Linked DNA regions of Anolis sagrei. The protein of the gene in region 2 interacts with the protein of the main gene of each other region in a pairwise test. Links are inferred from orthologs where the notes say so. Each region holds a gene or a part of one and is shown on either strand. Other genes may lie near its edges.

What was found. The genes of interacting proteins can lie anywhere in the genome.
Region 1: the proteins of PSMC5 (region 2) and PDC interact in a two-hybrid assay, tested with the Homo sapiens proteins (2 studies listed by BioGRID). The link is inferred for Anolis sagrei from reciprocal best matches to the Homo sapiens genes PSMC5 and PDC.

The regions. Positions count from the first base shown.
Region 1 is NC_090024.1:120,521,053-120,528,838, forward strand, and holds the start of PDC (phosducin), read left to right. Parts: upstream 1-4,393; 5' UTR 4,394-4,418; coding exon 4,419-4,532; intron 4,533-7,786. UniProt on the Homo sapiens protein: May participate in the regulation of visual phototransduction or in the integration of photoreceptor metabolism. Inhibits the transcriptional activation activity of the cone-rod homeobox CRX.
Region 2 is NC_090026.1:37,887,717-37,895,371, reverse strand, and holds the start of PSMC5 (26S proteasome regulatory subunit 8), read right to left. Parts: upstream 3,469-7,655; 5' UTR 3,428-3,468; coding exon 3,380-3,427; intron 1-3,379.

The sequences.
Region 1 (7,786 bases), on a different chromosome or scaffold from region 2:
TGCTGACTATGTCTATATATGCAGATACAGGTGTTGGTCCCAAGCATTTAACAACCTCATCACAAAGGGCACTCTTTGGCGACATGCACCGGCTCCGCCCTATTTCACCCATGGAGCCCACCAGCCCCCATCAAATTATGCTGGCAGGGCTCTGTGGGGGAAGTTGAATTGAGTTTGAGCATGTTTATGCGCTTCAAGTGAATTCAGTCTAGTCCGACAATAAGACTACATTTTAGTTTTCTTTTCAGAGATGCTTGCTGTAAAATTTAAGAGAGGTGAATATGTTAGTGAAGTACTATAACCAATTCTGCCAAGAACTGTAATTTGCAGTATTTGTCTGAATTACAATTTTAGCTGTGGCATTTAGTGCTGGAATACTCCCAAAGAGTTCTGGCCAGTTTAGAGGAAAATGTGGTTATTTCAAAGCACAGGAAATGAAACAAAATTCTTCTTCTGCTGGCACCTGCTTAAAGCAATGGATACAAGTATTTCCATTATGCAGATAGTCTCCATGTTGAAGGATCCAAACAGGGAAAAAAGAGAGGGGGGTTGAGAAAGAAGTAGTTCATCACTTACATGACTGAATATATAGTAATTCAAATCAAGACTATTAAGAGTTAAGTACACTAACCTCTGGTTCTGGATTAACTAATCTGTCCATCTCCCATATTCAATTGGTTTTAATCTCATATTCTGTTCAGCTGAAATATGAAGAAACATGTATTTTGATAAATTTTTATCCACAAGAAATAGAAATGGCAATATCACTCAATCCTTGAATGCAGATTCTCAAAGGCTGAGAGCATCACCTGCAGGCAGACAAACAAGGAAGCAGCCACTCTAGAAGATACCATAATACAGGGGTCCTCAAACTTTTTAAACAGAGGGCCAGGCCACAGACCCTCAAACTGTTGGATGGCCGGATTATAATTTGAAGAAAAAAAAGAATGAATTCCAATGCACACCGCACATATCTTATTTGTAGTGCAAAAAACACACAAAAACAATACAATAATTAAAATGAAGAGCATTTTTAACAAATATAAACTTATTAGTATTGCAGTGGGAATTGTGGGCCTGGTTTTGGCTGATGAGATAGGATTGTTGTTGTTGTTGTGTGCTTTCAAGTCGTTTCAGACTTAGGTTGACCCTGAGCGCGGGCCGAGTAAATGACCTTGGAGGGCCGTATCCGGCCCCTGGGCCATAGTTTGAGGACCCCTGCCATAACATTATAGGTAACAAAATTTGGTGGGTGGGGGGTTCCTGGTTTGAAAGTGTTATTCTTGTTTAATTGTACAGTACTTACTTTGAAAGTAGTGATATATTACAGAAACCTTGTTTTTGTGGCTGCCACAAAATGTGTTGAATTGGTTGAGGCTTTATGAGACATTCATAGAGCCTCAAGGTTGAGAAACGCTGATCTAGACAGAAAAAAAAGAAAACTGATGACAATCCACTATTTATTACACCCGCATAGTGATGTCAACAGACTTTACCTGCCCAGAAAATCAGAAGTGAAACAAACGGCAGAAGAAGAGAAACATGCACTGGCAGCTTATGTAAAAGGCAGTCAAGAACCAACATTGAGGGAAGTCAATAGTAGTAAACTGCTTAAAGTGCAAAAGACAAAGAGTGAATACCATAAAAACACAATCCAGAGCGGAAGAGAAAAATGGCAAAAGAAGGCTCTCCATGGACAGTTCCTGGGAAAAATTGAGAGTCAAATTGACAAAAAAATAACATGGATCCTTGCCCCTCCCGGTTGGTTAAGGAGTGCTGGAAGGGACTACGAGATCCCTTAAGGAGCATCATCAATAGTTCCTTGGAGCAACGAATTTTTACAGATTGCCTTAAAGAAGCAGTGGTCCACCCTCTCTTGAAAAAAACCAAGCCTAGACGCCGCCATACCTAGTAACTATCGTCCAGTTTCAAACATTCCATTTTTGGGCAAGTTGATTGAACGGACACTGACGGGGCAACTACAGCAATTCTTGATGAGACTGCAGGTTTGGACCCCTTTCAATCAGGCTTTCGTTCAAGTCATGGGACAGAGACTGTATTGGTAGTTATTCCTGACGAAATTTGTCGTCAGTTAGATCGAGGCAGATCAACACTATTGGTACTTTTGGACCTCACAGCTGCATTCGACACCGTGGACCATGACTTGCTGATTCATCGATTGGCTATGTCTGGTGTACAAAGTTTAGCCCTGAAATGGTTCAATTCATTCCTCCGGGACCGGAGACAGAGGGTGGAGTGGTTAGGCCAAAGCTCGGAGAGCTCCTGCCTTTGCGGTGGAGTTCCCCAGGGTGCTATCCTTTCACCCCTGTTATTTAACATCTACGTCCGGCCACTTGCTGGACTGGTGCGGAGCTTTGGCACAGAGTGCTACCAGTATGCAGATGATACCCAGCTACTCTTGCGTCTCGAACCTGGGACAACCGTGATTCCTGAGAACTTTAGGCTGTGTTTGGAAGCAGTGATGAGTTGGCTGCGAGCGAACAGACTAAAAGTGAATCCTGCTAAAACTGAGATACTCTGGCCTGGCCAGCCGCCAGAATTAATCCAGTCTCTGCCTGATTTCGATGGGGAAGCTCTGGTTCCGTCTGCCACTGTTAAAAGCCTTGGGGTTGTTTTGGACTCATCGCTGACGATGCAGGCCCAGATCACTGCCATAAGTAAGCAGGCCCTTTTTCATCTTCGCCAGGCAAGGAAATTGGCATCCTACCTTTCGGTAGAAGCATTGGCGACAGTAATCCATGTAACAATCACCACGAGGTTGCGTTGTGCCTTATATGCCGGCCTTCTGAAGTCAACAACCCAGAAGATTCGGATGGTCCAAAATACAGCAGCCAGGCTGCTAGCGGGATCATCTATAAGATCCCATATTACATATTGGCACATTCCCAACTGTAGCAAAAGAAATTTAGCTATTCACTAGTGTTGTTTATATATTCTATACCATGATTCCCTTTGGACACTATACTACCCTAGAATGAGTTGGATCCAGATAAAATTATATTTAATGCAGACCGCTTGAAATAAATGGGGTTTAAATGAGTCAGGACTAAATTAAATCTAATTGATCTCAGTGGGTCTGTTTAGTTACCAATGTTATTCAAATGTTTCTTGATTAAATACGATGTCTCTGAAAGTTGAATTAAGACCTTAGAATAGCAAAACAACTCACGAGGAAGAATGCCATGAAGTTAACAACATGGCTGATATGTTTTTATCCTACACAGAGACCAGGTTACTGAGAAACTGCCAACAGTAAAATGTTCAAAATCAAAGCAACATTCCACCAAAAGGAGTAAAGTTGTCATGGATTGTAGGTTGCTGCCAAGGTGGGCACATTTTGCACAAAAGTATATTTTAAATTGGACTTTTAACTGACATAACACAGGATTATTTCAAAACAATTTTTTTTCTGAAACCAACCTTATAAAACATAAGCACTTGATCCCACAACAGGCTATACAACTTACTGAAAGGCCCCGGTCTAATGAAGTATTGTGGGGACTGACATCTGGGGTCACGTTCCACAACACTGGGGGTAAGTTCTCACAACCATCCCGCTTCTTCAGGCTTAAAAAAGCCCAGAGGAGCAGGATGGTGCCCACTACAGTCCTCCTGGTGTGAGAAAATGGAACATTTGGATGCATTATTTTCTCATGCCAGGAGAACTGTAGGGAGAGGCCTATGCTGCCAGCAGGCCTCTCTGCCAAGTTTGGAGACCTGAATGGGGTGATGAAGGGGTGGCCTCATGTTATCCTGATTTTACTCCTGATTTGACTCTGCTCCGAAAACTCCGAAAGATTTGGGTTGGGGGTGGGGACTAGAACCTGTGCAGAAGTGGGTTACTTTAAAGTTACTCTTTAAAATGTACCTGATCTAATATGCAAATTCAATTTGAGAACAAACCTTAAAAAACCTAACTTGTTTGTAACTTGGAGACTGCCTGTAGATATATACCTGGCTGGAGTTACTCTAAAATGCACCTGTGCCAACTTACATGCAAATTCAACTTAAAACAAGTCTACAGAACCTATCTTGTTTGTAATGCAGGGACTGCCTCTGTATGCTTAATTCCTACTTTAGTGCATTCATACTTTCAGATGTAACAGTGATGGTGTTTCATGTTCTGCTAATTATCTATCTACCTCTATTGAAAACGTCAAGGTGCCATCAGGTATCAATGCATGGCCGGTTTGGAGTTTTCTTCTGTCTTCTTTCCCAATAACATATATGTATTAAATCCTTTAAACCTCTGGGAAACCTAGCATTTCATTGGCCTGGGCTAATTAACAAAATGGCTAATTCCTTTATGGTAATCCTCTTACATGCCCAGAGCTATTTCTGTCAGGGTCATCATGATCCCAAGACCTAAATCTCTATCCAGATTTATCTATCCTCAAATGTACATCAGCCAAGGACTCACATTTGCTCGAGCTTTACCCAATCAAGGACATTGTTGGTTACTCTGGGAAAAGTGGAGTGCCCAGGAAGCTAAGTATCTGAATTTTCACAAGGTAACTTTCTCTCTTTTTTGCTTGCTTCTTTATTTATTTCTAGTGATATCAATCAATTTGCAAAATGCTATATAATTTCAGAAGGAAAAAAATGATTTTGTCCTATCCTTAAAATCATCTTTCCCCCCTGTAGCTTGGAGCAATGTATGTTTTGCTGTTTTTTATTGTGTTTATCTCAGTAAAATGATGGCTCTAAAACTCATTCACATAAAGCAATTTAGCTACCACCTCACAGAAACAGATGATGCTTATGATTTGTTCAAAATTGAATTCCATGACAGTAACTTCTCACAAACTACATTATTTAATAGATGCATTTAGGATGTCAAGATTGACAAGTTAACTGGCAGTGCAATCCAATGGGGATCAAATTAGCAGTGTTGTGGTGACAGGAGCCTTACTTTTATGTCTTGTTGCACTGGATTTCTCCCACTTTCTTGCATGCTTTCTAAAAGCAGTGTCAGTTGGAGCTGGTATATATATATATATATATATATATATATATATATATATTTGTGTTCACCACTTTGTCCTCTGTTGCGCTAGCAAACAGAGCTTGCAAGCAAAGCTTCCTGAAAGTGGAAACATACCTAGACTTTCTTCTTTACATTAGTTTTCCCTCTCTCTTTTACTACAGAGTATTATTTGGGTGCTCATTTATTAAGGACTTAAAACTCACCTACTTGACAGAAAATCACACTGTTCTAAAATTATATTAATGGTTGGTGTCTTTGCCAATTAAATAATATTTAATTTAATAGTCTCGCTGATAGTTTGACAGTAAACTATATTCTGTTTCCAACTTGAAGAATCATTAATGGCAATTTCATGTGTTTGCTCAGGCATATACTTTCTTGGGTTCCACAGGACTTACTCCAAGTAGGCTTGGGCGGTTTCATTCGTTAATTTCGTAATTCGTTATTAATTCGTATTTAAATTAGCTTACGATCCAATATTGAGCCATGCAGGAATAGTGTGAGGAGTAAATTAGATTCGAAACAATTTTTTCAATTTATTTCGTAATTATTTTGTAATTATTTCATAATTATTTTGTAATTATTTCATAATTATTTTGTAATTATTTCATAATTATTTTGTAATTATTTTGTAATTATTTCATAATTATTTCATAATTATTTCATAATTATTTTCGCATGTCTGGTGCAAGTTTTATAGTTGTTGTTTGTTTTATCACACCAACAGTCAACAACAGAGGAAGAGGGAAGCTTCAGAAGTTCCCCCTGTCCCATTTGGAGGTTTTTTTTAGCATATTGCGCAATCACGTCCGCCATTAACGAATCGATTCGTAATTTTATGAAATTTCGTATATTTCAAAAATTTTAAAAGGAAAATTTCGGAATTATTAAAAAAAACGAAACGCAAGGGCCCCCTAAAAACAAAACGAGTTTAGAACCAAATTTTTCCGTGGTTACCCAAGCCTAACTCCAAGATGTTACAACTTAAATTTAAGATTGTATCATAACTAGTCTGTGATTTAGGTAGTGAGGGATCTTATCTTACACAATGGGATAAAAAGCCTAACCCGCCAGTTTGGACCATGAACCACCAATGGATTGTACCTTTGCCCATTAATCAAAGTCATAAACCCTGCCCAAATTTACTCCCGAGCAAGGATGTGAATTTTCATAGGCTTCATTTTTGCAGACAAGAAGGGTGAATTCCAATAGAGAACATTTTTCACACAAACCTGAAAAATTTGGTACAGTTCTCAGTTACTATCTTCATTTCAGTATTTGTGCAGGAAATATATTTCCTGTGCAGAAAATGTGTTACTTGTGCAGAAACAATTTTTTTGTTTCCTCTTCAAGAAACATGTTTTCCATACAGGAAAAAAAATCAGAGAAAATTATGTGCAGATAAATATTTGCTAAAGGGCAAAAATTCTCATGGCTGACTTGCCGTATACTGTTCCTCTCAACAGGATTTCACAACCATTGGAAACCTCGTTCTTACTTAGGAAATAAGTAATAATGAATATTTTTCCTTCCCTGCTTCTAAATCACAAAATTCTGTCTCAGCTTTTCCTTTTTTCTTGTCATTTCCCATCTTCATGCTGTTCTAAGTAGTCTCAACTAGTTAATGTTGCAATGATTAATGTAAAAAGCTATTGGGGTTTGTACAGATTTCCATACCCTCCAGCCGTGCCAGTTTGATTTTGTAAATTGGGAGAATCAGTATGTCTTTATTTGATTTTATTTGTAAAAGTCTGATTTGCTGTGGCCTAGTTTATATCTGTTGTGCAAGGACAGCTACATTAGTTTGAATGTTACAAAATCATAAGCAGCAGCTCTGAACAGAAGCATATCATCCTCCGTGGTAATTAAAATGACCTCTAGTTGAGTCAAAGAGAGATTACTTCTTTTTGATCATCTTGGCTTCCATCTCAAGTTTTGATATTGGTAAATTTTTGATATTTGTAACTAAAATCCAAATAAAACAGAAACATGTTATAGATATTTATTTGTGAATTTATTGTGATATTTATTTGTGATATTTATTTGTGCTACCAAATTGTGTTTAGGTGGATTCAAAATAGTTGGTGGAGGCAACAAGTATAGAGGATCTTATGGGGCTCTGCTCCTACTTGAGAGGAGGAAACAATCCTGCATATTATGTTTGATATTAGAGCACATTGCAGAAGAAATTGATGGAAGTCTTGATGCTGTCCAGGAGATCCTTAAAATTTGATGAAACACTAACTTTCACCAAAGCTGCAAAGGATGAATAAATACCAGAAACTATTATTGCTTGCTGGAAGAATTTATGGAGTGATGCTATGGACAATTTACATATCCCCCCCCCCCCCCCACACACACACACATACTGTAGTGGTCAATGGAAAATTTAGGATAATAATTGATGCATCAAAAAACTTGATAGAAGAGAATTTTAAACACCTTGGTAAATGTCCACATGACTTGTTCTGCTTCCATTTTTGGAATGTGATCCTTGGATTGGACACAGCATTAAATTCACTTATATGATTGCTTTAGGGTTATAACTTCTGCAGCAAAGTTCTGATGAATTGAAAAAAAGAAACAACAACTTCCTGTTATGATGTTCTTCCAAAAGTCTTAGCATTTGAGGATCACCAAACATCAGCATTGTCTTCTCTGATATTGGCATCCTACCATCTATATCATCTACTCCTGATATCAACATCCTACTATCGACAGTGTGTGCTTCCAATAGTAACTTTAAACTATCATAATTGTCCTGGTGCTATGTTTTGA
Region 2 (7,655 bases):
TCCCAAAGTAGACTAAAAGTCCCACTATTCACAGCCATGACCATAGTAGTTGTAATCCAATATCGAGAAGGCAGAAAGTTCTGGGGGTTGCTCAAATGAAAGCATGGAAACAAAGCTGATAGGAAGGGAACCAACTCATTTGAAATGTGGTGTTGGGAAGAAGGTTTTGCAGACAATTTGGGCTGCCAAAAAGACCAATAAAGGAATGCTGGAGAAAACAAAGCTTGGGTTCTCCCTAGATGCCAAAGTGACTTAACCAAGACTGCCATACTTTGGCCATATAATGAGAAAATATGGCTCACTAGAAAACACAATACAGGCAGTTCCCAAGCTAAAAACAAGATAGGTTCTGTAGGTTTGTTCTTAAGTTGAATTTGTATGTAAGTTGGAACAGGTAATTTTTTAAGTGTATGCCTGCTTTGGATAGAGTAGGTCAGGATTAACACCCCTATGGAGTTTGCTTTGTTGTCTGTTTCCATGTTCAAAAGGTTTCACCTCACTTTCTGTACCTGTGATATTTCTATCCTATACTATCCTATACTGCCAATAATCCACTCCTTTGGACTTCACACAAATTTACCATTGGCTAAAATATACAGTTCTGTTCATTTCCATTTCTGCCCAAATAGCTTAAACATCGAGTATGAAAAAACTGTATTGTTGTAGAAACAACGATTGGCGATAAAACTGCGGTGGAAACCCCTTTTCCCCAAGATCACACTTCCAAGAGTGAATTTCCCTCCAGAAAGGTAGATTTCTCCCATTTCCAGTTGTCTCACCCCTGTTCTTAACCATGAGTCATTTGTAACTCGGGGACTGTCTGTAATAAAGTGAAGGCAGTAGGAAAAGTGGAAGGGCTCTTCCACACAGCCCGATATCCCAGAATATCAAGGCAGAAAAACTCCACAATATCTGCTTTGGACTGGGTTATCTGTGCCCACACTGCCATATATTCCTGTTCAAAGCAGAAAATTGTGGGATTTTATTCAGCTGTGTGGAAGGGGCCAAAGACCACATTCTAGATCAGTGATTCTCAACTGGTCCCCAGGTGTTTTGGCCTACAACTCCCAGAAATCCCTGCCAGTTTACCAGCTGATAGGATTTCTGGGAGTTGAAGGCCAAAACATCTCTGGACTGACAGGTTGAGAACCACTGTTATAGATGGAAGGACTCAATCATGAAACTCGAGGCCCTGAGTTTGCAAGACCCGAGGATATGGTAACTTGAACGGTCTCTTTTTCACAGAGTTCCCATAAGATGAGGGCGATCTGACAGTGGTAATAATAATAATAAGAAAAAGAAGAAGAAGAAATAATAATAATAATAATAATAATAATACTCAGTTCTTGTGGGGTTTTTCGGGCTATATGGCCAAAAAAAAACGCCATATAGCCCGAAAAACCCCACAAGAACTGAGTGATTCCGGCCATGAAAGCCTTCGACAATAATAATAATAATTTTATTTATACCAATGGTCGACACCCAGGCTGTTAACTGGCGCTCCTTACAGAGAGAGGTCAACCCTCCTGTTTAAGGAGCTCCACTGGCTGCCATTCATCTTCCGGTCCCAATTCAAGGTTCAGGTGATCACCTACAAAGCCCTAAACGGTTTTGGACCCGCCTACCTGCGTGACCGCATCTCCATATATGAACCCACACGTTCCCTTCGATCATCTGGAGAGGCCCTGCTCACAATCCCACCTGCGTCACAAGCGCGTTTGGTGGGGACGAAGGACAGGGCCTTCTCTGTGGTGGCCCCCCGACTCTGGAACTCTCTCCCCAAGGACATCAGACAAGCCCCAATGTTGGTAATCTTTAGGAAGAGCCTGAAGACCTGGCTGTTCCAGTGTGCCTTTCCAGATTAGGAAACTCCCAGCATCATGTCCCAAATGCAATTTGTTAGAGACCAGGATTGTCTGCACATTGCACCTACCTCTAAAAAACCTCTACATATCACCTGTCAAGTTCAGCACTTTTAAATTTTGTCCATTACATTTGGCCCAGCTTTTAGGTTTTAAATACGTCATGGTGTCATTGTTTTATTGATTTTGCTTGATTTTTATTATTTGCTTATGAGTTTTACTGTTATATTTGTATGTTGTTGTTGGCGGCCTTGGCCTTTGTAAGCCGCATCGAGTCCTTCGGGAGATTTGGCGGGGTATAAATAAAGTTAATAATAATAATAATACCCTGCCACCATCTCCCCAAGGGGACTCGGGGCGACTTACATGAGGCCAAACCCAACAACACATCAGTAAAACAACAAAGCAGCATGCAAATAAAACAGTACAATTAATATAACTCACATAGAAGCAGTAACACACAAAAATTTAAAACCTATGTCCATGCCAGATGTAACAGACTAAAATTTCACAATAAACACTGGGCGCGAACAGAGGCAGGATGTATCTAAGCAGGAGGGTTTTAAAGAATAATGTAGGGAGATCAACCCAATGGGTAGTTAAAGTGCTTCTGAGGATATTTTCAGGGAACTGGTCAGAGCAGGGCATTGTTTCCTTTATTCAGGGAAGGCACACTGGAACAGTGACCTTTTCCAGTGACCTGGCAGCCCACATCTTTTCTATTTGTCTTACTGTGTGCCTTCAAGTCATTTCTGGCTTATGCCAATTTTTGACATACAAACATATACAGACATACACAGAGGCTATTTAACTTTTTTTTTCTGGCCGCCAGGGGAGCTGTCGCTTTCATTGTCCATCTGCAACGCTGATGAAGCACTTCCGCATTCCCCACATGCTTCCCCGCTGGAATGCTTTTTGCTGGAGTCTTCTTTATGGCCTCATAAATCAGTTAATTTAGCCTCCCCACACTTTTTAAAGGTGGTACCTAATTTTCCTACAGATGCAACTGTCTTTCGGGTTGCAAAGGTCGACAACAGGCTACACACAATTGGTTGGAAACCCACTCCAACCCGGGCTGGCTTTCAAGAGGCTTTCTTGGAGAGAATTAGCCAAAGATGGGTTTGTCTTGGCCTTTCTATGAGGCTGAGAGAGTGTGCCTCATCTAAGGATTTCCTTGCTGGGATTCGAACACAGGCTTCCCAGGCTCATCTATATTGCATAATTACCAGTTTGACACCACTTTAACCACTTCAATGCTATGGAACCTTGGGAGCTGTAGTTTTACAAGGTCTTTAGTCCATTCCACTGGTTCCTCAATCAACTATAACGCCCAGGAATCAATGGCATTGAGTCATGTCATCACCCAAACCATTACTGTTTTTAAATGAAAGCTTTATAGCAATCCATCCTTCCCCAGACAATAAAGTCCAGCCACCAAATACAGTCAAATATGATTTGATGCCCTTCTCCCACCATCCAGATGAGGAATGACTAAGCAGCTCTAAGGATCTCCTTACCTGCTCGGGCCCTTCCACCGCCATTTTCCCCTTCGCCGGCATCCACATTCCCACAACTGCGCATGCGCGGCGCCAACTTCCTGTCTTTTTCCTGCCCTTAACCAATATGGCAGATACAAGGCATTGAAAAGGGCAAATTGTTTCAATGTAGCTTCCTCTTTAGGGAAATGCCTCACCAACACTGCTCGCCCCTACACTTCCGATTCCCGATTAGACGCTCCAGAGTATCTCAGGCCCCATCTACACTGCCATGTAATGTAGTCAGTGAAGACTTCTTCCAACCAACTGATCCCTAATCCATCTAAACTGATCCCTAACCCATCTAAAACACAGACATGCGCCTTTCACCTTAAGAACAGACAAGCACCCCGAGCTCTGAGGATTACCTGGGAAGGGATCCCACTGGAGCATTGCAGCACACCCAAATACCTGGGAGTCACTTTGGACCGTGCTCTGACCTACAAGAAGCACTGCCTGAACATCAAGCAAAAAGTGGGCGCTAGAAACAACATCATACGAAAGCTGACTGGCACAACCTGGGGATCACAACCAGACAAAGTGAAGTAGCCCTTGCACTTTGCTACTCTGCTGCTGAGTATGCATGCCCAGTGTGGAACACATCACATCACACTAAAACAGTGGATGTGGCTCTTAATGAGACATGCCGCATTATCACAGGGTGTCTGCGCCCCACACCACTGGAGACATTACACTGCTTAGCCGGTATTGCACCACCTGACATCCGCCGGAAAGTAGCAGCCAATAGTGAAAGGACCAAGGCAGAGACATCTCCAGCTCATCCCCTGTTTGGGTATCAGCCAGCACGTCAACGACTTAAATCAAGACATAGTTTTCTTAGATCTACAGAGACACTCGCTGGAACACCCCAGCAAGCGAGAGTCCAAAAGTGGCAGGCCCAAACCCAGCACCTCAATCCATGGGTGATATCAGATGAGAGACTCCCCCCTGAGCACACAGAAGACTGGGCGACTTGGAAGGCGCTGAACAGTCTGTGCTCTGGCACCACAAGATGCAGAGCCAATCTTAAGAAATGGGGCTACAGGGTGGAATCCTCGGCATGCGAGTGCGGAGAAGAACAAACCACTGACCACCTGCTGCAATGCACCCCGAGCCCTGCCACGTGCACAATGGAGGACCTTCTTGTGGCAACACCAGAGGCACTCCAAGTGGCCAGATACTGGTCAAAGGACATTTAACCAACTACCAAGTTTGCAAAATCTGTGTGTGTTTTTTTTCTTTTTAATCTGTGTGTTTGTTTTGTTCTGTTAGAATTGTAACACAATGGTATAGTTGCTGATGACACGATAAATAAATAGTGAAGACTTATATAATGCAATTCAATGCAAGTGGTATTATAGGGTAGTGTAGATGAGCCGAACAAAAAGAAAGGGTGGAGAAAGCGGAGAAGAAGAAGAAAAACCCCTCCTGCTACTTTTAACTTACATATTTTAGTATAAGTTCTTGGAGATTGTGTGCGATTCTACACAGCACAATTATAGAAGTTTGATATAATTTCAACAGCAATAGTATAGTGGAAGTTGCTTCTGGTGTGAGAGAATCAGACATTGCCCAGGGGATGCCCGGATGTGTTGCTATCAATTTGCTTCTGAAACAATCAATAAATAACAGCAATATTATATTGACTTTTTTTTCTAGTTGAATGTAAAAAGAAAAAAGAAAAAGAGAAAAAATATAGAAAGTATGTGTTTTCACATGGAAAGTGGGGGAACAATGCACTGATAGGATAGTAGAAAAGAAGAAAAGAGAGAGAAAAGAAAATATTATATATATAAATCTAAAGGTAGAATAAAAAGAAAAAAAGTGTGATTTTGATTTCCATTCTTGTTCATAGCAGTTCTTCATTTTTATTATTATTTGTGTGTGTGTGTATTATTAACCTTTCTCTCTTTTTATAGAGTGGCATCTTTCTTTTTTCTGTCCCTTGATTATGATTTTTTTCCCAATCCATCTCATTCATCTTGCAATTCTTTTGAAAGATATATTTACTTAATTTATTTCTTTACAAAGGGGATTCAGAGCAGCTTACAAGAGATATATACATACAATATATTATATTATTAGCATAGTAAACATCAGTATTAAATATTACTATATTGTACTATACCGTTATATTGTAACATTATTAGTAATATTACATAAATATATATATTATTTACGATTTTGTTTTATTTACGAAAGTTATCACAGGGGAGAGGCGGATGAGAGAAGCCTCCCACACGGATGATAAAAACATCAAATCATCCTGGCATCCCCTGGGCAACGTCCTTGCAGGCGGCCAATTCTCTCACACCAGAAGCAACTTGCAGTTTCTTAAGTCGCTCCTGACACGACAAAAAGAAAAAAAACAACAACAGGGAGATATATATATATATATATATATATATATAGTATTGTTGAAGGCTTTCATGGCTGGAATCACTGGGTTGTTGTCGGTTTTTCGGTCTATAAGCTATATGGCCAAGTTCTAGAAGCATTATCTCCTGACCTTTCACCTGCATCTATGGCAATCATCCTCAGAGGAGTGGGGTGTGTATGTGTGTGTATCTGGCGAGCACTACAGTCACAAAGAATACCAGAAGACTATGTAACATGGATAAAGCTACTATACAATAATACAAGTATGGTCCGCTGTCCTGAGGAGATTTCACCACCCTTCAACATCACTGTTAGCATGCATCAGGGATCAGTACTCTCACCATTACTATTCATACTCTGCATTGATACTGCTACAGCAGATTTGCAGACTATGCATCCCTAGACAATCCTATATGCAGATAACATAGCACTCAGCCACCAAAAGCGTGCAGCCCTCCAACGACAGCAGCAGACATTCAGTGATAGTGAATATTGACTTCAACTGAACATACCCAAAACACAGTATCTGGAATGTGGCCTTCAAACTGGAAAAACAAGTCTCCAGACCCTTGATCATTTTAGGCGCCCTCCTCTGGACACATTTTCTTAGGCATGGAATCATCTGCTGCTTCCTCTGAAATGTAGCCTTCAACTCCCGGTATTCCTTGTATTCTTGTCTCCTGGATATGTCATCAGTTGGAGACCCCTCTCCCCCCCCCCCCCCCCACCAACCGCCGCTAGGAGTGAGTACAAAGGAGGCCAGGGGACAGTTCCATCTTGTCTCCTGCATATGTCATCAGTTGGAGACCCCTCCCCCCAGCATCAACCACTGCTCTGAGCCAGAGTGAAGACAGAGGAGGCCAGGGGACAGTTCCACCTTGTCTCCTGTGCTATGCTAATCTATATAAATAAAAATGTAATGTTAGTTCGTGCTACCATCAGAACTCAAAAACCACTGGGGGAATTGACATCAAATTTGGACACAAGACACCTAACAGTCCAATTTATGTCCTCCACTAAAAAAAATATATGATTTTGTCATTTGGGAATTGTTGTTGCTGGGATTTATAGTTTACCTACAATCAAAGAGCATTCTGAACTCCACCAATGATGGAATTCAACCAAACATGGCATACAGGACTTCCATGACCAACAGAACACACTGGAAGGGTTTGGTGGGCATTGACCTTTAGTTTGGGAATTATAGTTCACCCACATCCAGAGAGCACTGTGGACTCAAACAATGATGGATCTGGACCAAACTTGGCACGAATATTCCATATGCCTAAATATGAACACAGATGGAGTTTGGAGGAAATAGACCTTGACATTTGGGATTTGTAGTTACTGGGATTTATAGTTCACTACAATTAAAGAGCATTCTGGAACCCACAAACGACAGAAATGGGGCAAACTTCCCACACAGAACCCCCATGACCAACAGAAAATACTTTAGGCCAGTGGTTCTCAACCTGGGGTCCCCAGATGTTTTTCCTACAACCCCCAGAAATCCTAGCCAGTTTACCAGCTGTTAGGATTTATGGGAATTGAAGGCCAAAAACATCTGGGGACCCCAGGTTGAGAACCACTGCTTTAGGCCATCCAGTCCAACTCTCTTCACCAGGGCAAGAAAATGTAATCAGAGTCCTCCTGACAAAGAGCCATCCAGTCATAAATATAGATAGATAGATATGATTCTCTCTCTCACACACAGATATAGTATCATAGATTTGAAAGAGACCCTTAAAGAAGGACTATGATATGTTGCATATTCTAGAGTAGGCAAACCAGACACTCTCCACATCAACACTGACAAAGAAACAACAAGAAATACTGTTTACTCACAAGCATAAAGGAATTACATATATTAGAAACCAAC